Linked DNA regions of Elephas maximus indicus. The protein of the gene in region 1 interacts with the protein of each later gene in a pairwise test. Links are inferred from orthologs where the notes say so. Each region holds a gene or a part of one and is shown in the gene's direction. Other genes may lie near its edges. The genes, in order: HTT, PDK2, FTL and UBE2K.

Region 1 (7,744 bases):
CTTCGGTACTGAGTTAAAAGGGTATCTGGGGGCCATACTCTTGGGGTTTCTCCAGTCTCTGTCAGACTGGTAAGTCTGGTCTTTTTTTGTGTGAGTTAGAGTCTTGTTCTACATTTTTCTCCAGCTGTGTCCAGGACCCTCTGTTGTGACCCTGTCAGAGTCCACCCAGTCATTTGGGCCTGGCTCCTTCCAGCTCTACCATCCCAGTACATGGCTTTTGTTGTCATGATCCAAAATGGCTGCTCCGGCCATCTAAGATACTTCCCTGGTCCCATCCAATCTGGAGCAAGGGAGAATAAAGAAAACCAAAGACACAAGGAAAGATTAGTCCAAAGGAGTAATGGACCACAACCACCACAGCCTCCACCAGACGGAGTCCAGCACAACTAGGTGGTGCCCGGCTACCACCACCGACTGCTCTGACAGGGATCACAATAGAGGGTTCTGGACAGAGCTGGAGAAAAATGTAGAACAAAATTCTAACTCACAAAAACAGATCAGACCTACTGGCCTGACAGAGACTGGAGAAACCCTGAGAGTATGGCCCCTGGACATGACTCTGTACCGAAGTCACTCCTGAAGTTCACCAGCCAAGGATTAGACAGGCCCATAGAACAAACAGTAATACATGTAGCTCAACCATGTCTACGAGACTAAGTGGGCACACCAGCCTAGGGGCAAGGATGAGAAGGCAGAAGGGGACAGAAAAGCTGGATGAATGGAAATGGGGAACCCAGGGTGGAGAAGGGGACAGTGCTGACACATTGCAAAGTTGGTAACTAACGTCACAAAACAATATGTGTAATAGTTGGTTGATGAGAAATTAATTTGCTCTGTAAACCTTCATCTAAAGCACAATAAAAAAGTGGCTGCTCAGTTGCCAACCCATATCTCCTCATCCCTGGGCAGCGAGAAGATGGGCGCCCCCAGCGTGTGAGAGCAGAGAGTGCGCTGTAGAGTTTTCAGTGGCTGTGATCTTTTGGAAGTAGATCGCCAGGCCTTTCTTCTGACGTGTTTCTGGGTGAGCTCAAACCTCCAGCCTTTTGGGTAGCAGCCAAGCATGTTCAACGTTTGCACCACCCAGGGACTCCAAGATGGGTGGTGGTGGTTGCCGTCAAGTCGATTCCGACTCACAGCAACCCTATAGGACCGAGTAGAACTGCCCCATAAGGATTCCTAGGCTGTAATCTTTATGGAAGCAGACTGACACATTTTTCTCCTGTGGAGCGGCTGATGGGTTAGAACCACCGACCTTTCGATTAGCAGCTGACTGCTTAATCATTGTGCTACCGGGGTCCCTTCAAGATGGGTGTACCCCGCCCTTTTACGGAGACTTTCTAGAATAGCACCCATTGCTTCTGTTTTCATCTCCTTGGCGGAATTTATTTAGTCACATGGCTGAAAGGAAAAATGGGAAATGTATTTTAGCTAAGTGTCAAAGTGCTCAGCTAAAACTCGAGGTCCTGGAGTCCCCGCAAGGAGTCCTGGTGGCGTAGTGGTTGATCACCTGGCTGCTAGTTTAGAGGTTCGAACCCACCAGCTACTCCGCGGGGGAGAGATGTGATGTTCTGTTTCCATATAGATTACAGCTTTGGAATCCCTGTGGAGGCAGTTCTACTCTGTCCTACAGGGTTGTTCTCAATCAGAAGCACCTCGCCGGCAATGGCAACAAGTTGAGAGGCCCTGAGTGGCTCAAAGAGTTATGTACTCAGATGCTAACCAAAACGTCCAGGTCCACTCAGAGGCTCCTCAGAAGGAAGGCCTGTCAACTTACTTCGCAAAAATTAGCCACTGAAAACCCTGTAGAGCATGCTTCTGCTCTGACACGCGTGGGGTCAGCATGAGTCAGAGTCCACTAGAGCACGCTTCTGCTCTGACACGTGTGGGGTCAGCATGAGTCAGAGTCCGCTAGAGCACGCTTCTGCTCTGACACGCGTGGCGTCAGCATGAGTCAGAGTCCACTTTGACGGCAACTATTTTGTTGTTACTGTTTTTTATGACTAAAGAAGGTCAGAGTAGTTATTAGGAGGAAACTGTCTGACTTATCTATTGCCGTAACAGATCACCCCCGACATGGTGGCTTAAACAACACAGGCATTGTCTCATGTTCCTGAGGGCTGGGGATCCGGGCACCACTTAACCAGGTCCTCTGTTCCTTGGTCTCTCACATGCTGCTTCCCACCTGGAAGCTCGATGGGAAGGATCCACTTCCCAACTCATGTGGGGTTGGCAGGACTCACTTCTCCATCGGCTGTTGACTGGAGGCCACCCTCAGTTCCTTGCCACCTGGGCCTCTCCGACATGGCCTCTTACTTCATCAAAATGTGCAAGCTGAGAACGTAATAGAGTGCCAGCAAGATGGAAGTCACCATCTTCATGACCAAATCGCCGGAGTGACCTCCTATCACATTTGCCATATTGGGGAACAGTAACTGCCAGGTCCAGCCCGCACTTATGGGAGGGGAGCACACAAGGGCGTGAATCCTAGCAGTTGGGGGTCATTGAGGCTATCTTGGAAGTCGTCCTCCCCCAGCAAGTAACACATCATGCCCTGCCCTGGGTGGGAGCTGGTACCCCACCTGACACAGTGGACAGGGCCTTTATTAGTCTCAGGGAACAGGGACTGAAGTTTGGCCTCTTGTTTCTCTGCTGTCCTTACCCCAGGAAGGGGAGGCCATTGCTGTCCCTTGGGAACAAGGCTTCCTGTCCTGTTACTGGGTTTCCATTTACCTGAACACTTTGGGATGCTTGACAGGCTCTGGGAGAGGGTGGGGCTGTGGCTTGTGGCCACAGAAGAGGGAACACCGAGAGCAGGTGTGAAGGCATCTGAGTGTGAAGGCTTGGGTTGGCTGTACCTTGCTCTCCCTGAGGGGCTCCCTGTGGCCAGGTGGGAAGAGCTGCCCTCCTACTCCCTCCCTGTGCAAGCTCAGCTACCTCCCCAGGAGATAAGGAGTCCCTGGAGCCAGGACCCTCCAGCACCAGCCATCACCACCCTCAGCATGAGTAGGTGTCTCATAGACCAACACTGGAGAGAGCAGCGACCTCCACCCGCTGTGGAGGGGGTGCCCCTTGGGTGGGGGTGGGGGTCATTCCTGTAGGGGCATCTCTGCGGTGCCCTGATATACCTGTTCCAGGGGCTTCTCACTGCACCAGCCACAGCCTCTGAGCAGCACCGTTGACTGAGTAGCTTTACCACTTTACCCACCTGTACCTGCTGCAGGCCCGCTCTCCCCTCCTTCCGCCCATGGTGGGAGTCCTGGAAGGTGCCCAGCTGCTGTGGCGCCTGCCCTGCCAGGGCCTCTGCTTTAGGGGACGGGGGGCACCTGGGCTCCTCACCCCTGAAAGGCAGATCTCTCGGGTCCTCAGTAGCCACCGACCATAATCAGTTTTCTATGCAGCTGTTCCCCGTTCCTCCCGGCAGGGGAATGACCGGGGCCTGGCCAGCGAGTGCGCCGATCACCTGCCAACGTGGGGCGCACGGACCTCCCAGCCACAGCCGCTCTCGCTGCGCCGCCAGTCGTCGGGGGCGCCTTCCTGCGCGGGGCCGAGGGGGCGGCTCCCCAGGTGAGCAGAGCGGCCGGCGAGGCTGAGCCCGGGGAACAGCGCCCCCGGCCGGCCATGCAGGAGCCCGTGGCAAGGGGAAAACTCAGTAATGGCACTACTGTGTATTCGGATATTTTGTTCCCGATGGGTTTTTTGCATTAATTTCGATTTTCTTAAACATTGCCTAAGAATATTGTTTGTTTTCCGACGCCCCGTTCGTCCCACCTTCGTCCGGCAGCTAGAGCCGGAACCGGCGAGCGGAGAACGGGCAGCTGCAGCCCGGTGCCCCGGCGCCCTCCCGGCCCGCTCCCACCCGCAGCACTGCTGCCTCTCGGAGCCACGGCGGGCGGCTGAGGATGCAAAGGGCGCACGTTCGCCAGGCTCCCGGCACGGCGCTCGTGGGCTGGAGCTTCGCCCAAGAGGGTCGGCGCCACGGTCCGGGAGCCCCTGTTCGCGAGCCGGGCGGCCAGACCGCGCCGTGTCAGGGCGGATCAGAACCGCCCCGGCCGCTGGTCTCCTGTCTGCTTCCGTCCGGGCCCGGGCCCGCCCCTTCCGGAAAGCCCCGCCCCCGAGTCGGCCCCGCCCTCTCCCCAGCCGGCCCCGCCCCTGCTCTGCCCCGCCCTGACCCCCGCCCCCAGACAGGCCCCGCCCCGGCTCGGCCCAGCCCCTACCCGGACTGGCCCCGTCCTTCCCGCCCTCAGCCATGCCCCGCCCCCGGCTCGGCCCCGCCCCTACCCAACCGGACCCGCCCCCCAGCCCGGCCCCGCCCTCTCCCCGGCCCCGCCCCCGCCCCATCGACGTTCCGTACTCCTGGTTGCGCCCCGCCCCCCGACTTAGCCCCGCCCCCTCCCCTCGTTTTTTTCTCTCTCGTCCCGCCCTTTCCTCCGCGCTCCGCCTCCCTCCTTCATTCACTGCCGCCTGTCTCCATTCACCTCCCAACACTCCCCGCCCCCTCCCCCCACCCCCTGCCCGCCGCGCCCCGCCCCGTCCCCGCCCCTTCCCGCACGCCCCGCCCCGCGCCTTTGCGGGGCGCGGCGCTGGGTCTCGTGGCCGGAGCTCTCGAGGCTGCGTGCCTGCGGCGCTGTGGGCGGGCCGCCGCCTCGGCCGGCCATTGGCAGAAGCCGTCGCCGCGGGCTGTCAATCCCGCCAGCCGGCGTGGCCCCGCCTCCGCCGCGGAGCGTCTCGGTACGTAGGGAGGCGCGGGGGCTGCCGGGACAGTTCTAAAATGGCCGAGCGCCCCGGTTCCGCTTTTGGCTGCGGCCCCGGGCCCCATTCATTGCCCCGCTGCTGAGCGGCGTCGCGTCGCCGCGAGTCGGGCCCAGGGCTCCGGGAGTTGCCCCGGCCGGACGGGAGGCCGCCATGGCGACCCTGGAAAAGCTGATGAAGGCTTTCGAGTCTCTCAAGTCCTTCCAGCAGCAGCAGCAGCAGCAGCAACAGCAGCAGCCTCCGCCGCCTCAGCCTCCTCAGCTGCAGACGCAGCCGCCGCCGCCGCCCCCGCCCCCGCCGCCGCCGCCCGGCCCGGCCGTGGCCGAGGAGCCGCTGCACCGACCGTGAGTGCCGGGCCCGGCTCGGAGCGCGGGGCCCCTGCAGCCTCTCTTCCCGGGGCGGGACCTCGGGCGACGGCTCGGGGAGCGGCGTCCCTGCGGTCTGGGCCGCCCCGCGCGCGGCGAGAGTGGCGGCCTCGCAGCCCCCGGGAGGTTGGCACCTGCCCCCTCCTGCTGGGAGAGCCCAGCTCCGGCAGCGGGCCCGCAGCCCCTGCTCCCCCGGGGCCCCCTCTCTGGGGTCTCCGTCCTTCTGCGAGGGGACGTGGAGACTCGCTGGGGCCCCTCCTGAAGCCACCGAGGGAAGTCACGGCCCCAGGCTCTGGCCTTCCCTAGGTGATGAGAGTTAGGAAAAGAACTTGTTTCTTTTTATTTGCAAAAAACGGGGGTAGGGGTGATGTCTTAAGTGTGTCAGGAAGGGAACTTAGAGGAGTTAGAGACCACGTCCCGTTTGGCTTCCTCCAGGCCGCTTCCCTTCCTCTCCGCTAGTCCGAGAGGGAGGAGGGCTGGGGGCGCAGGGCACCTCGAGGGGAGCCCGGAATTGGCGCTGGAGTGATGTGGGGACAGTGGATGACATAATGGTTTAGGACGTCTAGGCGGGAGTGGTTGGGGGGGGCAGGGGCCTGAGGACGCCGTCCAATGGAGAGTGCTCTCCCAAGTGGCACTTTAAACAGCCTGTGACTTGAGACCGTATTCCCAGATTCTCCAGGCATTGCATTTGCTTCATGAATCGTAGTGGTAGTAACGTTTTTTTAAGCGTCACGTAAGAGACCCGCCGACGTAAGCTCAGGTGTTGGTCTGCAGGAATTTGAGCAAGTCGCGATTGCGGAGGAAGAGATGAGTTGCTTAGGTGGTTGTCGTTAACCAGTGGGAACTAATAAAGCCGACTTAAATATTAGGGAAAGTTGATGGTCTCCTTCGGGGACAAGGAGGACACATTGCCCAGGGAGAGACGGATTGCTGGGAGATGAATGAGGGGTACATTTTGCCAGTATCCTAGTCAAGCTTGTTAAAACGTGGGGTGTGTGTGGACCCCAGGGACATCTCAGGGGTGCCAGTAAACGAGCTGCTGTTTTGTTTCGTTGCTGACATTCTGTTACTCTTAGATAGGCAGGGATCTCCGCTGCCTGTGCCTGGGGAGAATTTTTCAAACAAAAAGACCATTGATAAACCCAAATCCATTGGCAGTTGAATCAGATTCTGACTCATAGTATAGGACAGCATAGAACTGCCCCATAGGGTTCCCAAGGCTGCACATCTTTACGGAAGCAAACTGCCATGTCTCTCTCCCTCAGAGCGGCTGGGGGGTTCAAACTGCCAACCGCTGAGTTAGCAGCAGAGCCTTAAGCACTGTGCCGGCAGAGCTTCTCAGACCATTAATAGCACCTTCTGATAGGACTCAAGGGCTTTTCCTGGAAGTGTCTGTGCTGAGTGTTCAGTAGGGGTTAAGAGCTACAGTAAGCTACGGCTGCTAAGCCAAAAAAAGGTCGCCCTTGGAAGCCCTGTGGACCAGTAGTCCCGCAGGGTCACTATGAGTCTGAATTGACTCGAGGGCAGTGGGTTATGGGTGCTGCAATTTTCAAGGAGCCCTCGTGATACAGCACACAACAACAGCATGCTGCAGTTCAAGCTTCTCTCTCACCTCCAGGTGTTTTATTTCTGATCTTGGTGTGTACAAGATAGCAGTCAACAGGAAAGAGTTTTCAGGAATCAGCCCCTTGAGGAGTCTTACTGTGTTAAGACTGATTCATTTTTAGTAACTTGTTCTTTATATTTCTTGTATGATCTTTGCTGTGTGTCCTGAGAGTTTAATTAGATAATGAGGATTCAGGGAGGTTATGTTGGATTAATTGTTAGAATAAAATTTAGAAAGAAAGAAATTATTTTTTTCCTTAAAACCTGTTTGAATATCCAGAGAAACTTTTTGACAGTTTGGCTTATCTCTGCAGCACATAATTTATAGTCACACGTCCGCATATGTGTGTATCTTGTGTAAAAGCGGGAAGCACTAGGCAGGGTCCTCGATGGGGAGGGATGGGGAGGAAGACCTCGCTGTTGTCCACTGGTGGCTTGTTCAAACACTTGGTCAGTCTAAACAGACGCCTTCTCTTTCTTATGCTGACTTGACAGGACATGAATTTGCTTATCTTCAAAATATGGGTAACAGAGGTTTCCTTCTCAGGCTGGCTTGACAAAGTAGGTAGATTTTGTTTCATTATTTTAAGGTAATGTGTGATTGATTTATTTTAAAAATCTAATCTATTATTTTTGTATAAGTAATACATTAAGATGATTAACAAATTCCACAATTACAAAAGGGTAATAATTAAAATATCTCCCTCCCACTCCTTTCTCCTAAGTACCTAACATCATCCCCGAAGGCAACTACTCTTAAAGTTTTTTCTGTATCCTTGCAGATATAATCAGTGAAAATGTTTAGACCTTAAATTTTCTTAAAGCAAGTGTTTTAGAATAGAAACTTAAAGGCTCTTAGCATGCTCTGAAATCAGCTGCCATAGGGTTTAGTTATAATTACTGTAAATAAAGTAAGTAAAGACCCTACTTCTAATGTATCTTGCTGTTGAAGAGAATAGTGATTAATTTTCAGTTAACAAACTCGCTGCTCACAAGTTTGGATCTTGGCATTTCTGTTTAGATGC
Region 2 (7,880 bases), on another chromosome or scaffold:
CCAAGCTGTTGTGTTTTCAATTGTCTCATACGCATGCGAAAGGTGGACAATGAATAAAGAAGATCAAAGAAGAATTGATGCCTTTGAATTGTGGTGTTGGCGAAGAATATTGAATATACCACGGACTGCCAAAAGATCAAACAAATCTCTCTTGGAAGAAGTACAACCAGAGTGGTCCTTAGAAGCAAGGATGGTGAGACTATGTCTCACATACTTTGGACATGTAATCAGGAGGAATCAGTCACTAGAGAAGGAAATCACTGAAAAAGAGGAAGACCCTCAATGAGATGGATTGACACCGTGGTTGCAACAATGGGCACAAGCATAGCAACAATTATGAGGATGGTGCAGGACTGGGCAGTGTTTCATTCCGTTGTGCATAGGGTCACTATGAGTCAGAATCGACTCGACAGCCCCTAACAACAACAACAACCATATACCCCCACTCTGACTGGTGGGCCCAGTGACATACTGAGTCTCCTGGTATTAGTGTCCGTTGAGAGCTAGTATCCAGTAATCCCTGAAAAGTCTATTTCCTTTTCCCCAACGAACAGTAATTCTCGTAAAAGGCCATAGATCCCTTTGGAAAAGGCTGGAAGAAAGATTAACAGTACAAATTTTTAGCAGTGTAGTGGGGTCCTTCCTCAAGGGAACCTGGCCCCCCCTTCATTTAAGGGGTTTTGGGTCTTCAAACTTGCTCAAGTCTGGGAATTGATTAAAGAGCCGTGACTCTCTATTCTGACAATTCGAATTAGACTGCTGTTCGCTTGACCTAGAATTCATTTGTTTGTACGGATCAAGTAAATATTTCGAAGATTTCCTACCTATTTCACACTTAGGGACACCATGACCAAGTAGCCCACGCCAGAAGTCCATAGGAGCCAGGCTATTCTGATTACTGCTTTGGCTCCATGGTCCATTACGGTAACCATGCCAACCTTGTCTTTGTTGATTGAGCGACACCACTTGGCCCCAACCACCACAAGGTCTAATCAGCCCCATTGTAGTTAGGTGTTTTAACTCAGCTAGGGCAATTCCCACTGTCAAATCTGACTTACATAAAATAGCAATCACAGCAGTCTTTGAGGATGCTGGGGCTCCCCTTCACAAATTTGTTCCTCACCATTGTGGTAAAAGATGTATCCTCTGTGCACTCCATGTGTGGGTCTGTGGGTCTAACCTGATAAATCCACTCTAGCATGCCAATTTTCCTAATCCTGTGGATTCCTTCTTCTATAGTATGCCAAGGCAGGTTTGGTACTTCAGCTTGATTTAGTGTAGGCCACAGCATAATCCACGCTTCAGTAACGCAACCAAATAAACTATTAGATCCTTTCCTAACCTCTTGAGTTGAAACATTTAATGAAGTATCTGTACTTAGTGGGCCCATATCAGTAAATTCAGGCTGATCCATCCTTATCTTCCTTGCACCATTATCCCACACCCTTAATAGCCATTCCCACTCATATTCCCTAGGTTTCTGTTTGTACCCATTAGAAAAGTCAAGCAGTTTTTTTGGAGTGTTGCGTACCTCCTCCTGGGTCACACTTTGTACTTCACCTTTTGGGGTTCCCTGGGAATTTAGCCTAGAAGCCAAAATGGATGGTGGGGATATGTTTTGGGAACATTCAGCATTGTCTTGTAAGGCATCTGCCTCAGGCAACACCCCAGGCAATGACTCAGACAAAGTCTCTTCCGATGTAGCTGGGTGAATCTCAACAAATGGCGGTGGAGAGGTTAATGGTTTTACCAGAGAAGGTGGCTTATCGGATAAAGATGGAGTAATTGCTTCAAATGGGAGTGGGAGGGCTAGTTCTGTTAGCAGGAGTGATTCAACCAAATTTAGGGGCTCAGGGTCCCCAGCTTCCTGATTATCTGCCCATATGTCCCCATCCCAACTTTCAGCATCCCATTTCTGACCAATCAATGCCCTCACCTTAACTTCAGACATCACTTGAGGTTGGGAATTCAGTTGGTGTTGTAATTAAGCCACTTTTACAATAAAATTCTGGGCTTAGTTTTCGGCAATATCAGCTCTATCCTACAGGAAATAAAGTTTTCTTTCAAGACACAAGTGGAAACTTTGAGGTCGTTTATGCAGCGCTTGAGCTTCGACTCTGAGCCCCTGAGCTCATCCCTTTCTTTTACTACTTTGTCTAGAGAAAGTAGGACCAACCAACGAGCTTCCTTATACTTCTCATTATGACAAAATTGTAGAGAGGTACAAGCATGTGATGACCCTGAGCCTCACCTCTCACCAATATGTGATCTATTGGTGGTGATATTTTGCCTATTTCTATTGCCACCTTACGCCATGGATTAGCAGTGCCCTCTTTACCACCGGAAGCAGGGTCATCAATGTCTTTAAGACTAACCAGACTTGAGAATCAATTTAGAAAACTCATCCTTACAATTTTGTTTCTCTAGAACCACTCTCAGCGTCTTATGCTGGGCTCTCTAGAGAAGCAAAACCAGTGAAGCATCTGTCTGTACATAGATAGAGAGAGGGCTTTATATCAAGTAAGTGGCTCATGAAGTTGGAGAGGCTGGAAATCCCAAGTCCATGGGTCAGGCTAGAGGTTTCTCCTGACTCACATAGCTATAGGGGCTGGTGAACCCAAGATCGAAACCACAGAAGCTGACGAACCCCAAGATCGGCAGGCAAGCTGCTAGCTCAAGTCCGAAGAACCGGATGTCAGGTGAACAGGAGCCAGCTGCAGGATCCAGAGCGAGCAAAAGCCTAAGAGCCTTGCCAGAAAGTCCATCTATATTGGATGCAGGCCACAGCCCCAAGGAAACTCCCTTTCAACTGATTGGCTACTCACAGTAGATCCCACCATGAAGAGATCACACTACATAAGATTTCATCATGGAGGTGATTATACATCATTATACAACTGCCAAACTACATCATAACTGCCAAACCACTGAGAATCATGGCCCAGCCAAACTGACACACCACCTTAAAGATCACAGTTGGGATCATTGGATCATATGGCAATTCTATGTTTAACTTTTTGAGGAACCACCAAACTGTTTCCCACAAGTCCTGTTCTTTACAGTCACTTCTGAATGAAGCCTGAGCCTCAGTCTCCGCATCTATAAAATGGGGATAATAACAGTACAATAGCACTGTCTTGAGAATTAAATGAGATAATGTATGCAAACAGTGCCTGGCTCATAAGTTATTATCCATTCAGCTAAGAGTGTCTTCCATTGTGAAGCCTTGTGCATACAACTCTGTGTTAGCTCTCACCATACTCTGTTGTACCTACTTACTTACTTATGCAGCTGTCTTAGTTATCTGATGCTTCTATAATGGAAATACCACAAGTGGATGGCTTTAACAAACAAATTTATTTTCTCACCGTTTAGGAGGCTAGAAGTCTGAATTCAGCATGTTGGATCTAGGGGAAGGTTTTCTTTCTCTGTTGGCTCTGGAGGCAGGTCCTTGTCTCTTCTGAGCTTCAGCTCCTGGGCAATCTTCATGTGGCCTGGGATCTCTCTTCCCCAGTCTCTGCTAGCTTGCTTTTAATCTCTTTTATATTTCAAAAGAGAATGATTTTAGACTAACCTATCCTATTAACATAACAAAGACAACCCATTGCCAAATGAGATTATAACCACAGGCATAGAGGTTAGAATTTACAACACGTTTCTTTTTATTTTTAGGAGACACAATTCAATCCGCAACAGCAGGTATCTCCCAAACTGAGCGCTTGAGGAGAAAGACCATGTTCTAATCCTGCCTGTGTTTCCTGTTCCCAGGAAAAAGCCTAGCACACATTAAAAACCAATTGCTGTGGGGTCGAGTCCTAATCATGGCGACCCCATGAATGTCAGAGTAGAACTATGCTCCATAGGATTTCAAGGGCTAATTTTGGGGCAGTAAATCGCCAGGCCTTTCTTCCGAGGCACCTTCAGGTGGACTCGAACCTTCAGCCTTTGGCATTTGGTAAGTGCGGGCAGAAGACTGAACCCAGGAAAGATGCTATCAAAGTGTTGACCCCTTGGCCCAGTACAGGATATACCACGTTGGACCTCAAGAGGGCCCTGTATGTTCCTTACAGAGAGGCGGGGCTGCTGGGAAAGGAGGACCCAGGGAGGCCGGGACCAGCACAGGCTTCCCCTTCGGCCCCAGCACGAATCATCTCCCGGTACCTCTTTTTAAGGAATCCCAGTGCGAAGAGAGTCGCTTTCTCAGCTAGATGTCCAAAGATTCCTGCTCGGTCAAATGAGCTAGATAATAATGAAAATGTTTTGAAAACGGCACACGTAGACGCTAGCTGTTAGGGCTTTGACTCCGTGTTTTTCAACTGGAGGAGGCGCTTGGATCTTTGTGGAAGTGGGAGGGCCGTATGTCTATATGAGGGATTAATGTAGGCTCGCATCCCGGTTCAGAATTTTGCAAATAATCATCGTCTGGGTCACCGTCATGGAAACTGTCCAAGAAGACTGATTGCTGGAGGGTTGGGGAGAGACTAGGGACCCACAAGACCCCCTCAGGGAAAGTAGGGAGAGATCAGGACAGGTGAAACAAGCACCTTTGCGAAGAAAGTTTAGTTGGAAGCTACCTGGACAATTCAGAGAAGGAAAGGGTTAAAATGAGCCGACAATTGGTGGAGATTTGGGGAGGGAGCAAGGGAAAGGGAGGAAATTGGAGGGGAAAGAAATTAAAAGGCTCGAAGGACCTCTGGGAAGAAAGGAGTTAACCCAGCCTCCGACCCTAGAAGGAAAGGGAGGAGTTAAAGATCAGAGGCGGACTGGCCGCGCCGCCCTCCGAAAACAACAGGCCGCCGCGGGCTGGGACGGGGTTAAGCAGGCGGGCCCAGAGGGAAGCCACGTGCCGGAGCGGAATGTTAGTGGTTCTCCCGTAGTTGTTTGCACATGGCCATTGGCGACGTCGGGGCGCCACAACGAGCCGATTGGCTGGGGTTCAGAGGCCCCCCCCGGGCCAGGGGAAGCTGGCGGCCGAACCGGGTTGCTGAGGCTGGCTGGACCGGGCTGGGCCGAGCCGAGCGCGACAGCTACGCGTGCTGTGACAGAGTCGGAACCCGAGCCGCGGCCGCCGCCATGCGCTGGGTCCGGGCGCTGCTGAAGAATGCCTCCCTGGCAGGGGCGCCCAAGTACATTGAGCACTTCAGCAAGTTCTCCCCATCCCCGCTGTCCATGAAGCAGTTTCTGGACTTCGGTACGGAGAGGCGGGAGGCAGCTGGCACCGGGGCACCGAGAGGGGCAGCCGGGGGATGATTTGGGGGTGATTGGAGGGGTCTAGACAATGAAGGATTAACGAGGAGGAGAAGAGAGGCCCTGAGTGACGGAGGAGGGTTGCTAGGAAGGGTACAGGCAGGAAAAGGTTAACGGGGAGGAAAGGGAAGACCGAGGCATGAAAGGGTTAGGGGCGCCCCAGCTGAAAAGAGACTGTGAACTGAACTACTAATGGGAAGGGGGAGGGGGGAGGGCACTGAGAACGATGGGTCCAAGGTTTCTTCCTGGGCTTTGTGAGGGGTCTTGGGGAGTAAGGGACGGGGGAGGGGGGGCCATTAGGGTAGGAAGGGAGTAAGGTGACATTCTAGCACTAAAGGGTTAATGTGGCATTATGATGACTCTAAGAATGGGGGATAGAGAGGAAATGGGGGGTGCTAGTGGAAGTAACAAGGAAGAGTTGGGGAGGGGTAGCCATCTGGAAGGAGGAGACCTGGGCTGGGCATGGAAAGGTTAGACATTCCTGGATAGACTGAGAGAAAAGCAGGGAGCAGTTGGAGAAGGGGGCTCTCTCAGAAGAAGATGCCAACCAGAGAGGGAGCTCCTGACCAGTAAACCCAATGAAGGATGAAGGATGTGGCTCCCAACCATCCTGGTGGGCAAGGACACTTGAAGATCAAATCTGCCCCAGCCTGGCACCCTGTCCCTAGCTTGGCAGGGCCCTAGCACCATAAGGTGAAGTCAGGTCGCTTGTACCCACCCTTGGCTGCTTCTGGATTCTTGGGCCAGAATCACCCACCACCAGCATCTGGAGGTAGCTGTGGGGCAGGAGCAAGGCGGTACCAACCTGCCAGTTGAAGCAGGCATTGTGTAGGCTCTGTCTGTCCACACAGTATTTCCATGGTGCCAGCTGGAGGTTGGGAGGGGGTGCCCAGGTCTCTGAAGGAGCCCTGGGGGTGCTGTGGTTAAAGTGCTTGTCTGCTAACTTAAAGGTCAGCAGTTCGAACCTATGAGGTACTCCGGGGAGAAAGATGTGGCAGTCTTCTGTAAAGATTTACAGTCTTGGAAACCCTATGGGGCAGTTCTGCTCTGTCCTACAGAGTCCCTGTGAGTTAAAATCTATTCAGTAGCAATGGGTTTTGGCTTCTCTTGGCCCAGGTCTCTGAAGAGTTGAGAAGATAGTGCCTGGCTCAGGTTACAGCTGCGTCACTGACAGGAAGGGGCGGGGAGGGGGCAGTCAGAACACAAGGGCACCTGTTGCCCCAGACTTGTTTGCCCACCTCCTGGGCTTTTGAATCTTGAGCTTCCCCAGTATGGGAAAGCTTCTTGGGCCCACCACTAGCCCCAGCAACTGTCCAGCCCAGACTGGGCCCCAATTAGAAAATGTTGCTGCTGGGAGGGGCCCACAGTAGAGTTCAGTCTGTTCGTAGTATAGTGGGAGAAACAGACCTTCAGAAAGATGGTGACACACTCTGAGTGACAGAGTTGGAAGGAGAGCCTGGACTAGAACCCAGGTCTCCTGACTCTAGGCCATGGCCTTATTCAGACTTCCAAGCCCTCTTCTTAAAGACAGGCCTCGGTTTGGGGCTGCTGTCCTTGGGCCCTGTTTGCCTTACAGGCAGGCATTAATGCAGGGTGCCACTCTGCAGTGGGCATCAGGAGCAGCCTGGAAGAGACCACACTGGGACCCTGCAACCGCAGTGGTCCCGGTTTAGTCCCCCACCCTGGGTAGGGATAGATTTCCCAGACTGCTCTGCCCACCTGGATCAATCCCCCAAAGTGAATGTCCAGAAGAAAAGAGAAGACTGAGGTGACTTAGGCCAGAGGCCGCTCCAAGTGGGCCCAGGGATGGGTGGCCCTGTCCCCCATGGTTAAAGGTTCACCTGGAGGTGGGGAGAGGATGCAGCCCCCTGGAAGGTTAGGCATGGTGTATGGAGGTTTGAGCATGCAGGGGAGGAGACCTGTGTTGCTCTGTGCTCTTGGTCAGGCTGCTTCCTCTCTGAGCCCTCAGTACACGAAGAGCCTGACTGACCTGTCCTCTGGCTCTTCTAGTTTGAAGTTCTTGGGCTCACCCCTCTCTCCTTCCCCCAGGGTCCAGCAATGCCTGTGAGAAGACCTCTTTTACCTTCCTCAGGCAGGAGCTGCCGGTGCGCCTGGCTAACATCATGAAGGAGATCAACTTGCTTCCTGACCGGGTGCTGAGCACACCCTCGGTGCAGCTGGTCCAGAGCTGGTGAGACCCCTGGCCAGGGCCCTGCACCCTCCCACTCCATTGCCAGGTGTCCCTGGGCTCAGGGATGGAGGCTCCATGCTCCCAGCAGCCTTGATGGGGTGGGGGCAGAGCAGAGGCACAGGGGCTCAGGGGGCCAGGGAATTGCCCAAGGTCATGTGGGAGTCCTAGGCCAGAGCAGGGACTAAGATCCAGCTCCTACCCTCCAGTGTCTACGGGACAGCCTTATATTCACCATCCTCCTTTCTCCAGAAACCCAGGATCCGTAGTTTGGGTAAATCATAGTTGGCCCAAGTCCTGGGACCTCGTGGTTTTCACAGCTAAAATTCCAAATCAGACTGATGTCAGCATTAGCCACAGCCCTGGCCCTGGAAGCCCAGCATGTGCTATGTTAGGCTTTGCCTTTGTTGAATATTTATCTGGGTTTACTTTTTGGAAAACAGAG
Region 3 (6,379 bases), on another chromosome or scaffold:
CTCTGGGTTTCTGTCCCTCTTTCTCTGGGTCTCTGTTCATCTCTCTGGGTCCCTGTTCTGTCTGAGTATCTGCCCCCACCCCCCATATCTCTGTCCTCTCTCAGGGTCTTGGTTGCCCCCCCAGGTCTCTCTCACCCTCTCTGAGTCTCTGCCTACCCCTCTCTGGGTCTCTGTATCCCTGTCTATCTGCCCCCCTGCCCTGGGTCTCTTTCCTCTTCTCTCTCTGGGTCTCGATCCTTCTCTCTCTGGGTCCCTGTCCCCCCAGGTCTCTTTCCCCCACTCTCTGTGGGTCTCTGTGCCCCTCTCTTTCTAGGTCTCTGCCCCCCTTTCTCTCTTTGGGTCTCTGTCCCCCTTTCTCTAGGCTTCTGTCCCCCTCTCCCTGGGTCTCTGTCTTTCTCTCTCTATCTCTGTTTCTCCCTCTCTGGGTCTTGGTCCCTCCCCCAGGTCTCTTTCCCCTGCCTCTCTGAGTTTCTGTCCCCCTCTCTTTCTCTCTTGAGTATCTGTGCCCCCCACCCCCATGTCTCTGTCCCCCTCTCTCTTTCTCTGGGTCTCTGTCCTGAGTATCTGTCCCCCTCCCCATGTCTCTGTCCCCCTTCTTCTGTGTCTTGGTCCCCCCCAGGTCTCTTTCCCCCTCTCTGAGTCTCTGTCCCCCCTCTGGGTCTCTGTACCCTTCTCTCTGGGTCTCTGTTCCCCTCTCTCTCTGGGTCTCTGTTCCCCTCTCTCTCTGGGTCTCTCCCCCCGACCCCGGTCTCTGTCCCCATCTCTCTCTGGGTCTCTGTTCCCCTCTCTGGAACTCTGTCCCCCTCTTGGGTCTCTCCCTTTCTGGTCTCTGTCCCCCCCTCTCTGGATCTTTTCCCCTTCTCTAGGTCTCTGTTCCTCTCTCTCTAGGCTTCTGTGTCCCTCACACTTGGGTTTCTGCCCCCTCACTCTCTGTTTCTTTCTCTCCTGCAACCTATGGTCTCTACCCCTCTTCTGATCCTCTCTGTCTCAGCCCCTCCTTTCCCTCCACTTGTGGACACTTTCAAAATCCCCTTTCCATAGGTGGGGCTTGCCTGGGGCTAAAGGTCTTTAGGCTGAGGAATGACAACTGGTCAATCAATAACTAGGCCTGACTAACTAGGTGGCTCAGGTCACTTACCCTCCCCCCTCCCCCATGTGCTCTCCCCAGAGACACTAAGTCCAAGCCAGACACCAAGTCAGGTGAGAAATGTCGGAGATATATGAGCTGAGACTGAGCCCCTGACCCAGAGAGAGGGAACGCTATGGCCACAGGAAGAATCTCCAGGAAAGACATAAGGGAACTGAGATAAAGTATGACGTGGAAACAAAAACATCTTGGGGGAGGGGGCCACAGGCCTGGTTCTGAGGGTCTCAGTCAGACCAATTGCAGCTGGCCCTGAGGGGATGAGGTCAGGGGAGGGGGGCCCTCCCACCTCAGTCCTGGTCCCCTTCCTGTGCCGAGCTCACCATGACTCAGCATAGCCACTCACCCAGACGGCCTTTGTTGTTGGGTGCCGAGGACTCAATTTCAACTCATAACTACCCCCATATTACAGAGTAGAACTGTCCCATAGGGTTTTCTAGGCTATGATCTTTAGATCTTTATGGGAGTATATTGCCCGGTCTTTCTTTCACAGAGCTGCTGGGTGGGTTTGAATTGCTGACCTTTGGGTTACGAGCCAAGTACTTAAACTTTGTGCCACCAGGGCTCCTTAACACCAAAACCAAACCCATTGCTGTAGCGTCACTTCTGACTCAGGGATCACCTTTTGGTTAGCAGGTGAGCTCTTTAACCACTGTGCCACCAGGGCTCCTATACACGCCCCTTAGGGACCCCAGATACTGGCCCAGCCTTGGCATCCACAGATCCCCTGGGTGAAGGGCTACCCCGCCTGCACTGGCTGGCGTGGCTGCTCTGCCAAGCAGACCTGACCTCTTACCCCTCCCCTGTGACTTCTGTTCCTATGCCACATGAGCTACCTCCATTACCGACTCATCTAGGGTCCAGTTGCTGTCTTTGTACCTTCCTCCTCTACACAACCAGGAGACTTGGTTGGGCAGTGATTAAGCGTCTGGCTGCGAACAGAAAGGTCAGCCTTTCAAACCCACCCAGCAGTTCCGTAGGAGAAAGACCCTGCTTTCATAAATATTACAGCCTGGAAAGCCCTATAGGGCAGTCGTACTCTATCACTTGAGGTCGCCATGAGTCAAAACCTGTCTTGATGGTACTCAACAGGGAGCTCCTTGAGGGCAGGGCCCTGCTTTGAGTCAGCTCTGCCTTCCCAGTCCCAGTATGAGCCTGGCTCACTTAAAAAAATGTATGTACAATGAAGACAGTCTCCTCCTAGGTCCCCAGGCTCTCCTAGTTTCCCGAGAGACCCTGAAGTAGTGCATATTGGGCTGGACACCCAACTACCTCTGAGAGGTCCCTTCAGGGCCAGAGAGAATTTCCACAGTCTTTAGACTGCCTCCAAAACAAAGAAACCCAATACGATCAAGTCGATTCTGACTCACAGCGACCCTATAGGACAGAGTAAAACTGCCCCATAGGGTTTCCAAGGCTGTAAATCTTTACAAAAGTAGACTGCCACATCTTTCTTCCAACAAGGGGATGGTGGGTTCCACCACAGACTTTGCGGTTAGCAGCTGAGCACTTAACCACCGAGCCACCAAGCCTCCTAGCCTCCAAAATAGTTCCCAGGAAATGCAGCCCAAGAGACCCCCCCCCCAAGGCTCTAACGTTATTTCCTACACACACCCCAATCTCAGCATCCAGAAAAACACTGCTGTTTTGTTTTTAGGTGCCATCCAGTTGCTTCCAACTCATAGCAACCCTGTGTACAACAGAATAGAACACTGCCTGGTCCTGTGCCATCCTCACAATCCTTATGCTTAAGCCCATTGTTGCAGCCATTGTGTCAATCCATGTCCTTAAGGGTCTTCCTCTTTTTCGATGACCCTCTACTTCACCAAGCATGATGTCTTTCTCCAGGGACTGATCCCCCCTGATAACACGCCCAAAGTATGTGAGATGTAATCTCGCCATCCCTTAAAATAGCCCCAAGGTATCCTGAAAGCCCAGACAATTCTTCCAAGATTCCAAGAGCTCTTGAGGGTTCCTGAGTCCCCCTACCTCTCAAAAAGTCCCTGTTCCTGTTAAGTGTCATTGACTCAATTTCAAAACATAGTGAACCTATGTGAGCCCTGTTGGCACAGTGGTTAAAGTGCTTGGCTGCTAAATGAAAGGTTAGTGGTTAGAACCCACTAGCCACTCTGTGGGAGAAATACCTGGCCATCTGCTTCCATAAGGATTACAGCCTTGGAAACCCTATGGGGCAGTTCTACCCTGTCCTATAGGGTAGATATGACTCAAAATGGACTTAACAGTAATGGGTTTGGTTTTTTTTTTAATGTTTGCGGGGAGCAGACCACCAGGTTTTTCACCTGCCTGCCAGGTGGATTCGAATTAAAATAGTGCCTAGATTTCCAGAAACACCCCAGCCCTTGAACCCCAAGGCTCCAAAACCACTGCTTTTCACAACTTGCAGATTCCTCTGAAGGCCCTAGAGACCTCCCCCAGCTTCCAAGAAAGGCCTCCAAAGAAACAGACTTCTTAGATCCAACTCTAAAGCTAGAGAGACCTTCCACTTTTGGGTAAACACTAGGGAAACAGCTCTCCTATCCCACAACCCAGCGAGACCCCCACCCAAAACCCAGTGCCATCGAGTCGATTCCGGCTCATTGCGAAGCGAGACCCCCAGGGTTCCAGAAATACTCTTCTTGGGGCCTTCCAAATTTCCTAATGACCGGGAAACCCCTTATCTTCCACAAGCAACCCCCCCTGCACCTCTAAGGAAGCCCCAGGGTTCTAAAAGAGTCCATGCTTTCAGAGACAAGCCCAGAATCCTACTTCCCTGAAACATCCCCAAGACCCCAGGATCATCACCGCCCAGGGCTCCCCAGTGTTCCCATAAACCTCCCATCTTCCAGAGCTGCCCCCAGAATCCCCCGACTTTGCGAATAAGCCCCAGGACCCTGCACCCACCGAACCCGCCTAGCACCCACTTCCTCCCCGCATTCCCATTTCACAACAGTCTCACGCTCCAAGCGCGTGACTCCCCAACCCCGGGGGGGCTGGGGGGAAGGGGGGAGGCGCCTATCTGTTCTGGATTGGTCAGGCGCGGGCTCAAGTCCCGCCTCCCGCCACCGCGGACTGGTCGACAGATCGCCCTGAAGCCCCGCCTGCGAGGAGCCGCATGCTATAAAACACGCCGCCCTGGCCCCCACCTTCCTTAAGCTCGCTCGGTGGTCCCGTGGATCTGTTTCTTGCTTCAACAGTGCTTGGACGGAGCAGACCCGGGGACGCCCTACCTCCAGCTTCGCGCTACCTTTCAACCTCGTCTCCTACGCGCAACCTCTGGGACCATCTTCTTGGCCATCCCCTGTTTCCAGGACCAGCTAACACCGTTTTTTGTAGTTAGCTCCTAATCGTCGACGAACCATGAGCTCTCAGATCAGTCAGAATTATTCCGCTGAAGCGGAGGCCGGCGTCAACCGCCTTGTCAACCTGCATCTGCGGGCTTCCTACACCTACCTCTCTCTGGTAAGGGTCCCCGAGACGTCCCCGGCCCATGTTTTCCCTAGCTGCGCACCTCCGGCCCTGTGCGCACGCGCGGACCTTCTTTGTCCCGTTGGATAGCAGAGGGCGGAGTCCTTCGCCTGGCCTCGCCTTCCATTAACCTTTGTTCCCTCTACCTCCCGCAGGGCTTCTACTTCGACCGCGACGATGTGGCCTTGGAAGGCGTGGGACACTTCTTCCGCGAGCTGTCGAAGGAGAAGCGCGAGGGTGCCGAGACTCTTTTGAAGCTGCAGAACCAGCGTGGCGGCCGCGCCCTCTTCCAGGATGTGCAGGTAAGTGGCGTGTGGGCCACGGACTACATCTCCCAGCAGGCCTTCCGCACAAGGCATTTGGACAGCTGCTCTGTAGGCGCTGTAGCGGATTCTTAGGAGATTGGGTTCGATCCTGTCTGGGTTTGTTTTTGGGCGAAGTAAAGGTGCTTTCCCAAGTAGTGGCCGGCCAGGCTACTGGGTGGTCTCATGGGAGGCAAAGTTGTAGGAGGCTTGGCGTGATAGATCAAGCATCCTTGCAGGCTAGGTCCATTATCCTCAGGGACTTCTGGGAAATGTAGGTTTTAGGTGTTTGCCAGATGTGTGAATAGTTGTGAGTCGTCTTTTTCTTGTACAGAAGCCGTCCCAAGATGAGTGGGGTAATACCCTGGACGCCATGGAAGCTGCCCTGGCCCTGGAGAAGACCCTGAACCAGGCCTTTCTGGATCTGCACGTGGTGGCTTCTGCCCAGGCAGACCCGCATGTAGGTACCGCCTTCATCCGTTGCAGCCCCTCCTCAGACCTTCCCTGGCGTTTAACCTTACAGTCTGAGCTTGCTTTCTTCTTTGATTTACTGGGCAGATTGCTTTCTGAGGACCACATTTGCCTCCCTCTTTCTCAGGAACTGCGTTTCTTATTTCTCCTTTCATATTCCTCAGCTCTGTGACTTTCTGGAGAGACATTTCCTAGATGAGGAGGTGAAACTCATCAAGAAGATAGGCGACCACCTGACCAACATCCGCAGGCTGGCCGGGCCCCAGGCTGGGCTGGGCGAGTATCTCTTTGAGAGGCTCACCCTCAAGCATGACTAGGAGCCTCCAGAGCCTCCTGTGAGGGCCCCTCTGCAATCTTCTGTCCTCATCAGGCTTTTGCCTGAATTTCTCCCTTTAGCTTTTAGGCAGCATCTGAACCACCCTGGAGGGCCCTCTCCCAAGCCGTGGACCAAATGGAAACAATAAAGCTTTTTGCAGCAGCTACTGGTGTTGTGTGTATGGTGTGGAAAAGGAGTTATAATCTGTTTTCACAGGTCTTCAGGCTGTGCTGGCAGGGAGAGGGGGCCCTATCTTTCATTATCTTATATTCTAAGGCAGGACTTTTTCCAGGGGGTTGTGTACGGGGTAGCTTCAGTTCTGTTTGCCTTGGCTGTTAACTTTCTCTCCTTGATGGTAGAGCCCAGACTCCAGGGAGGGTTTGGTGGCAGACCCAGGCATTGTTACAGGGAGTAAAAGTAATTAGAAACAGGTGTTGCTTAATGAGCAATTATGGGGCCAGGCTCTGTGCCAACCTCTTAAACAGCTACTATCTCTGGCTCAATCCTTGGGGGTAGATGAAATAATTATCCTCATTATATGGGGAAATTTACGACACAGTTAGCTGCTCAACTACTAGCTGAAAGGTCAGTGGTTTGAGCCTACCCAGGGATGTCTTGGAAGATGGGCCTGGATATCTGCTTCTGAAAGGTCACAGCCTTGAAAACTATTGGAGTGCAATT
Region 4 (7,948 bases), about 41 Mb from region 1:
CTTCACTCCATGCTGTAGATATTTGGGAACCTGCGATGGTTGGGGTTTAGATCTAATTCTCTAAATTTAGAATATAATGTGCATTATAATCAATACTGTGGTGCCCACTGACCTGGAGCTAAGTTTAGAAATTTGACTGTGGATCTAAATGCTGCTTTCCATTCGGGCAACTAAAGCTCCTTACAGCGGGGGGGGGGGGGGGGGGGGGGTGGGTGGGTGGGTGTGGGTGTGGGTGTGGGTGTGTGTCGGGGGGGGCAGAGAGCTAGCAGCATGGAAAGGGCAGAGGTCAGTGAAAGCAAAAAAAAGTAAAATGATACAGAGTTAGGACTGAGTATTTTTTTAAAAAAGAGTTAAATGAGAGGCGTGGGTAGAATAGGCAACAGTGAGGGAAGCAGAGAGAGGAAAAATATATCAAAAAGTTGGCAAAACCCAAGGTCAGGAAAGGGTTGTAGCGAAAAAAGAATTTCTTTGCATTTGGAAGAGCAGGAAATTTGAATCTGAAGAGCAGTAATAGGAGCTTAGCAGGGTCTACGAAAAGGAGATTTGAACACTTCAAATGTTAGTAATTATTATCAAGGGTTAGCAAAGCACTAGTATGCCTTGCCATATTTACTTGAATCAACACATCAAAACTTTTAGGAACAACCAGATTAACTTTCCTCCATTTGACCTAAAATCATTTTTATAGCCTTGACACATATCATGTTTACGTAAATTACATATTCTGAAAGCCTGTGACTTCTTAGATCCAAGCCTAGTGTCTGAGCAGTACAGTATACTCAAATGTACTCAGGACCCCTTTGTACTCTGAAAAATTATTGAGGATTCCAAAGAGCTTTTGTTTACATGGCTTATATCTATCAATATTTATTGCATTAAAAATAAAAACTGAGAAATGTAATTTATTAATTTTATTATAATAGAATTATAATAAATCCATTACATATTCACATAAATAATATTAAAAAATAACTGTTTTCCAAAACAAAACCTCTTTAAGGACTGGCTTACTAGCATACTGATGGATTCTCCTATCTGCTTCTGCTTTCAATATATTGCAGTATGTTTGGTTGAAGTATAAGAAGAAAACCTAACCTTACACAGATATTTAGGTGGATAAGGGAAGAATATTTTAATAGCTTTTTCAGATAATTGTGGATATTCTTCTTTAATATTACACCCAAACTAGACAAATGGCAGTTTCATAAAGGTTAGTTGCAATGTGGAATCTGAAATGTTGTCCGTGTGTACTCTATTACATTAAAATTCATTGGTCTGTCTTGAACCTTGGGATCTTTTTTACCCATGCATGATTTTGTAACACCATGCATTGATCATTTAGAAAATATTGCTTCACTGTCTTGTACAGAGCTTCCAAATGTTGACACATCCCATTGTATAACAGCAAACAATCACATCTGTTAATATCACCATCAATATCATCAGCCATATCTTTAAGTATTGGGAAGTTCATGGTGGCAGACATGTTTTCCAAAATTCTGTCACTTGAAAGCTTGAATTTTATCATGGACGACACATACTGTCAGGTGTTTTTCTTGAAGCGACAGGCTCACCTCACTGATTTTTGAGAAAATGTCTGCTAAATACCCAAGTTGTAATAAACATACTTTGCCTGAGTCATTATGTCACGTAAAAATAAAACCTGTTGCTGTCTATTTGATTCCGACTCATAGCGACCCTATAGGACAGAGTAGAACTGCCCCACAGAGTTTCCAAGGACGCGTGGTGGATTTGAACTGCCGACCTTCTGGTTAACAGCTGTAACTCTTAACCACTACGGTACCAGGGTTTCCAAGTAAAAACAGTGTTTCATAAAAAAAAAAAATGGCTAGTTCAGCTCGTAACTCAGCAAATTGCCCAAGTGTCTTACCTTGTACTTTGTTACAATGCAGACATTCTGTACGTATACTTCCCATTTTGTTGCACAGAATATTAAGAAGATATTTACTCAAATGTTGAGATTTAATAACATTTACTGCTTCCCCAAAGACATTCTAAAGTGAAACTGGCTTTTTTTTTTTTTTAACCATGGGTATGTGACATTGAAGAATTACCACTAATATAGAAATTTTACAGCTGTTTTGCCCACCACTGCTTTTGCATCATCACTGCACATGTCAGTACAGTGAAAAGGCAAATAATGTTTTAGTACAGTTTTGACAATAGTTTTGGCATGGCAGACCCCCTGAAAACATCTCAGGGACCCTCAGGGGTCTGCAGACTTTGAGATTAATTTTATTTCCCCCACCCCCACTAGAATGTAAATTTCACAAAGGCAGGGTTTTTCTTTTTTTCTTGTTCACAGATATTTCTTCAGGGTCTAGATCACACCTGGCACATAGGAGACACTCACTAAATTTTTGTTTAATTAATTAATTAGTAAATGAAGTAATCAATCAGACCTAGGTAGTAGTAAAAAGCTTATGATCTGTATTACTGGAAACACTTTTTTAAAAAGTTACTTCATTGAATAGGTAAAATATACAACAGTGCACATGGTGAAAAGTCTCCTACCTTGTCTTCTCCAAGGTGCTTAAATTCCTTTCTCGGAGATAACCACTGTTGTCAGTTTTTTACGTATCTTTCCATCAATACTGTATGGATTCACGAACATCAAATACACAAGTTATTCCTTTCCCCTCTCACACATAAGATGGCGTACTATACACAATATGGACTTCCCGGTGCCTCTTTTAAACATAAATTTTTTATTTAGTAATAATTTTAGATTTACTGAAAAGTTTTAAAGAAGTGTACAGAGATTCCTGTATACATTTTACCCAGCTTCCTCTAATGTTAACATGGTACACAACAATGGTACCATGTCAAAACTAAGAAATCAACATTGGAACAATACTATTAACTAAATTATAGACTTTATTCAGCTTTCACCAGTTTTTCCATTAATTTTTTTTGGTTCTAGGATCCAATCCAGGATATCTCATTGCATTTGGCACGGTGCTTTTTTCACTTAAAATGTATCTTGAATATTGTCTCATATTAGTTAATATGTAGCTGCCTCATTCTCTGGAAGGACTGTAAAATGAATCCCTAGAAGTGGAACTGCAGAGTCAATGATTATGTGCATTTAAAAATTACTAAGTTCCCTTCCCCCAAGGAAATTACTATACCCTTCTAACTGGTTTCTCTGTGATTTGAATATACCAAGTTTCTTTGAAGTTCCAACATTGGGATTGGCAACTGAATGAGGGATATAAAAGTAAAGTATTCAAAATTTTTGCACACTTCAAAGTGATATTTTTTAGTTCTGGCACAAACACACATAGCACTGCATGATTTACGTTATTATTGTACTGTGACCCACTTATATATTTGGTTTCTTTCAAGACCACTAGGGGGCTCTGCTGGAAGAGTTTTGTAATTTATGCCAGTCCACCTAGGAAAATGATGTCCTGAGATGATGTTTTGAACACTTATTTTACTTGAAAGAGATCATCTTAATCCACCTTCCATGTTTTGCAGATGAGGAAAACGAGGTTGACCATGATCTTACAGCCAGGCATGAGGAGAGCTGGAATAAAACAACCTCCTCTTGGTTCCTGGGGCAGGAATTCAAGAAATTCCCTTAACACCTTAACTAAATGATTCACCTCTAGTCGTGATTTCTTTTTCTGCTCCCACATTTTTAATAACTTTTGCAATATTTTCATAACAGGGTACTTTACTAATTGGTTAGGTGAAGGAAGTGCATGAAATATAAACTTTTAAATAACACCTTTTATCACTTATTCCAAAATGTCATATTCAAAATACCTCTCAGCATCAAAAGTATATTATTAACTATAATCCCTAGCAACCCCTTTTAAATTGCCTTTCGAACTTCCTTTCCACTAAAAACATTTTACTGTTATCTTTATTCATTCATTCAGTCAATATTTATTGAGTGCCAATTAATGCCAGATCAGTTGCAGGCTTTAGGCTTATAGAAGTAAAAGCCCTCCTTTCCATCCCTTCAGGAGCTATTATTTCTCCAATTTCCACTTTATTTTTGGCATGCCTTAGTTCAGTGATTCTCAGTTTGGTCCCTGAACCAGCAGCATCAACATCATCTGGGAGTTTTTTAAAAATGCAAATTATCAGGCTCGCCCTGTACTCCAGGGACGAGGGCCAGCGATCTGTGTTTTAACGATCTCTCCAAGCTCCAAGGGATTTTGACGCATGCTTAAGTTTGAAAACCATCTTTTCAGTTCCACAGCTCGGTATTAATTATCTAAATAGATCAAAGATCAGTATCTGTTGATGTATTTTCTGCTGTGTATATTCTCAACAACAACAAAAAGTAAAATAAGTAAAAAAAAAAAAAAAATCGACATCTGACGTCTAAGCTTACCTCAGGCCTCTCCATGGAGTATCCGTCTCAAATACACCTAATGGAACCAGCAAGGACGATACTTAAAGCAATGATTTCTAGTTCCGATGGGAATATTAGAGGCACTTTATGGTGTCCCTGTTTTCAGAACAACAACGGACCGCAGTGCATTTTCTGGGGCCTTACCAACTGAAAATGGGCCGGACTGAATTCTAGGATAGTGTTTTCGTACACTAGACATAGTCGGGCACAGTAAGCCTGTGGGTTGGGGCTCTAGTCTGGGTCAGGCTGAGTAAGGGCGTGGGTCCAGGTCGAGTAGAGAGAACCGCGTGGGTCCTGCCGGGTTGGGTTCGAGCCTTCGGCCAGAGGCCAGGAACTGAAAGCCACGACCACACCATTCTGATTCGCAGCGCGGCGGAGTCGCAGGGACTCGGAAAAGCCGAGTGTGCGTCAGGCAGCGCGGAAACCGCACCCGCCCGGCCCAGACTCCGACGGGGCGGAGTCAGGCGACCGCAGCTCCAGCGGAGAGACGCGCGGCGCCGCGGCTGAGGCTACACCCGGAGCGGCTGCGCCGCCCGGCCGGGTCAGCATCGTGCGCATGCGCGGACCCGGCGCCATTTTGGTGGCCGGGCGCGGAGGTGATTCCACACTGAGGAGAGCGCGGCGGCTGAGGTGGCAGTGGCAGCGTTCCTGTGCTCGGGTCTGAATCGCCGGAGGAGGAGGCAGTGGAGGAAGAGGTGGCGGCGGTGGCGTTGGTCGTAGCGGTGGCGGAGGAGGCGGGTACGAATCAGCTGCGGGCGGAGACATGGCCAACATCGCGGTGCAGCGAATCAAGCGGGAGTTCAAGGAAGTGCTGAAGAGCGAGGAGGTCAGAAATGAACTCCCGGCCATCCCCCACCTCAGCCCAGGGTGGGAGGGCCCTTCCAGCGGCCACCCCGATATCCCCTGTAACCCCTGGGTGGCCCGCCCCGCGGCCGCCCTACTGCCTGTGGGGAAGCAGTAGCTTTCCCCTCCTTCCGCCGCCTTCCTCTCCCCTCTCAGGGCCCAAGGATGGACGGTCTTCCCTGCGGGAGGTCTGGGGACGAACACGTTTTGGGGAGCAGGTTAGAGAAGAGGTGCGCTTCTCAGAGGGGTGTGAGCCGTGGAGAGACCCCCGAGGCGGTAGCAGCAGCTGGAAGTGTGGCTGCGGGTGGGGAGGGTGCAGGCCGAGCCTGAGAAAACCCGGGAAGTGGCATGGGGGAAGGGAAAAGGTGGTAACTGGATCCGAGGGAGCTGTGCTGCTCGTAGGCCCACACTTTTAAGGGTATTCTGGGTTATCGCCTGTCAGGCCTTCAGCGCCCTTTCCTTAGGGAAGGAGCGATGAGAGCTCCTAGGTATTGATGAAAGGAGAAAGACAGGCATTCAGAGTTACTCCCTCTTAGTTGGGTGTTCGAAGAGAAGGGGAGATACAATGACATTATTTAAGTAGGGAATATAAGGGAATTTCACCTGAGATAGGAAATTAACTCCAAATTATATCACCTCACTTAGACCCCCAATTTCTGGACCCTTTATTTATTGGCATCTAAAGGTTTCTGACTGGGTAAATGCCAGTTGTTTGGTGTATTAAAGGTATTTAAATATTTTTAGCCAGGAACAAATAGTAGGGGGTATGAACAGCTTATTTCAAAATATTGTTTACAAGTTACAGGTCAGTCTCTTCTAAGACAATGCTGTCTGTTGACTCTGTTGTGTTGTACCATGAAACTTCATTATGATGTCCCTCATAGTTAACCTGAATCTTACTTTTGAAAAATAGCCCTATTAAAAACATGAGATTTCAAAAACAGGAACAAAACAAGAAAACCCATGAGATTTCATCAGATTAATATGTTGTTGTATCTCTTTATTAAGGTGAGTAGAAGGTTTATCCTGACATGTATCTAAAGTGATTAAAAAATAATTTATCTCAAGCTGTGCTTGAGACCTATGGAGTTTTAGATACTTTCATGCTGCACACAATTATTTATATAAGAGATTGAAAACATTATAGTAATTTGACTCAAAACTATGCCAGTATCAGTTTTTCATACCAAATTAACAAGAATAGCAAGTTGTTTTCCCCACGTGGATTTAACAGAGGAAGATCAAAAAGTAATACTGAAAATGATTTTTTTCTTAATGTCACATCCCATTGTTGAGTATATTGTTGCTGTTTGTTTTTTTTTCTCTCATTGTCTTATGTTCGTACTTTGATAATGTCAACAACGATTTGTGAAATTCAGCATTCTAAGTATGTGATGAGTAATTGACTTAAGTCTGATATCACCTGGGATTTCTTTGTGTTTACTGGGTCTGTGATAAAAAAAAAAATAGTCATGTATTTTTCCAGGTACACATGGAGAAAATTATTTAAAATTATTCAAAAATGACAAATGCCAGCAGATTTAATGAACGTAGGTAGTATATATTTTTTTAGTACATAAGTAATGATCTGCCTTAAAGAGCATGTGTGTGAACTCTAACCCCTATATTTGTTCAAGTGCCAAAACTCTGAATGGAAGGATGACTTTGTATTTTTATGGTACAGTTTGGAAATAGAGTCATAAATGTCTACTGATACACAGTGAAACAATGATTCTGACTTTTTATTTTATAAAATGTATTCCAGAATAGTTGACATACATTAATGAAAAATTGCAGCTAATATTGTTGCCAGCAGCCTAAAACGTACTTTTTTATAAGATTGTACAAATTTGAAGCTTCTAATGCCTTATTTTCCATTACATAAAAGTGGTAAGGTTTACTGCTCTAGTAATTCATGTTGGTTGGTCACTTTGTATGAGGTGACTTTTCACCATGATATTCTTAGTACTTAGGTTGCCAGAAATACTTGTATTGCTCTACTAATGCATACTTTTAAAATAGTACTTCTCTTTTATATGTAAGGGATGATGAAGCCTTGCTTCAAATAAGTGTCATAGTGTTTCAGAGGAAGAAAACAGGAAATGCAGACAGACAAAGGAGTTTTTTTTTTTTTTTGAGAATAGTACCCTTGCAAATCTGAAAGGATACTTCTTCCAGGAAAGTTAGTTGCAAAGAACATTTAGGGAAGGGTCAGAAGATTTAATCTTGTAATAAATATAACCAATAAATAGCTTTATTTTTACTGGCATTTTTATGTTGATTATTATCAACTCGTCAAAGGACTTGTATAATCCATGTATTACTTCCTTTTTACTTTGTGAGTCAATGTAGTATTTTCAGTAGCTGGTGAAGTAGTCAAGTATTTATCAAGTCATTTTATGCAGATCTGCAGTTTACCAAAGTTTATTTCATGTGCTCGTTTACTAAGAGTATTGGTTAATATAAGATTTTTTTTGGAGGGGAGGCTTTTAAGTGACTTTAAAGATAATTGATGTTTGCTGAATTCTGGTCATAAGAGGTTATAAACAGCTATTCTTAGAGTGTGTTTTTAGTTTAAATACAACCTCAAAGATAAACCTAAAAAGCAAGATGCAGAATAGTGTGTAGGAGGCCACCATTTATGTCAAAAGGGAGAAATATGTGTATTTGCTTATACAAGTGAAAGAATTCATGAGAAATTGGTAACATTGG

The links.
Region 2: the proteins of HTT (region 1) and PDK2 interact in binary tests that used the Homo sapiens proteins (3 or more experiments, as listed by UniProt). The link is inferred for Elephas maximus indicus from reciprocal best matches to the Homo sapiens genes HTT and PDK2.
Region 3: the proteins of HTT (region 1) and FTL interact in binary tests that used the Homo sapiens proteins (3 or more experiments, as listed by UniProt). The link is inferred for Elephas maximus indicus from reciprocal best matches to the Homo sapiens genes HTT and FTL.
Region 4: the proteins of HTT (region 1) and UBE2K interact in binary tests that used the Homo sapiens proteins (3 or more experiments, as listed by UniProt). The link is inferred for Elephas maximus indicus from reciprocal best matches to the Homo sapiens genes HTT and UBE2K.

What each region holds. Positions count from the first base shown.
Region 1 is NC_064823.1:162,026,509-162,034,252, forward strand, and holds the start of HTT (huntingtin), read left to right. Parts: upstream 1-4,737; 5' UTR 4,738-4,902; coding exon 4,903-5,093; intron 5,094-7,744.
Region 2 is NC_064837.1:43,535,250-43,543,129, reverse strand, and holds the start of PDK2 (pyruvate dehydrogenase kinase, isozyme 2), read left to right. Parts: upstream 1-4,866; 5' UTR 4,867-4,887; coding exon 4,888-5,191; intron 5,192-7,296; coding exon 7,297-7,438; intron 7,439-7,880. UniProt on the Homo sapiens protein: Kinase that plays a key role in the regulation of glucose and fatty acid metabolism and homeostasis via phosphorylation of the pyruvate dehydrogenase subunits PDHA1 and PDHA2.
Region 3 is NC_064829.1:99,377,897-99,384,275, forward strand, and holds FTL (ferritin light chain), read left to right. Parts: upstream 1-4,281; 5' UTR 4,282-4,501; coding exon 4,502-4,603; intron 4,604-4,764; coding exon 4,765-4,911; intron 4,912-5,245; coding exon 5,246-5,371; intron 5,372-5,546; coding exon 5,547-5,699; 3' UTR 5,700-5,860; downstream 5,861-6,379.
Region 4 is NC_064823.1:121,116,492-121,124,439, reverse strand, and holds the start of UBE2K (ubiquitin-conjugating enzyme E2 K), read left to right. Parts: upstream 1-4,939; 5' UTR 4,940-5,156; coding exon 5,157-5,219; intron 5,220-7,948. UniProt on the Homo sapiens protein: Accepts ubiquitin from the E1 complex and catalyzes its covalent attachment to other proteins. In vitro, in the presence or in the absence of BRCA1-BARD1 E3 ubiquitin-protein ligase complex, catalyzes the synthesis of 'Lys-48'-linked polyubiquitin chains.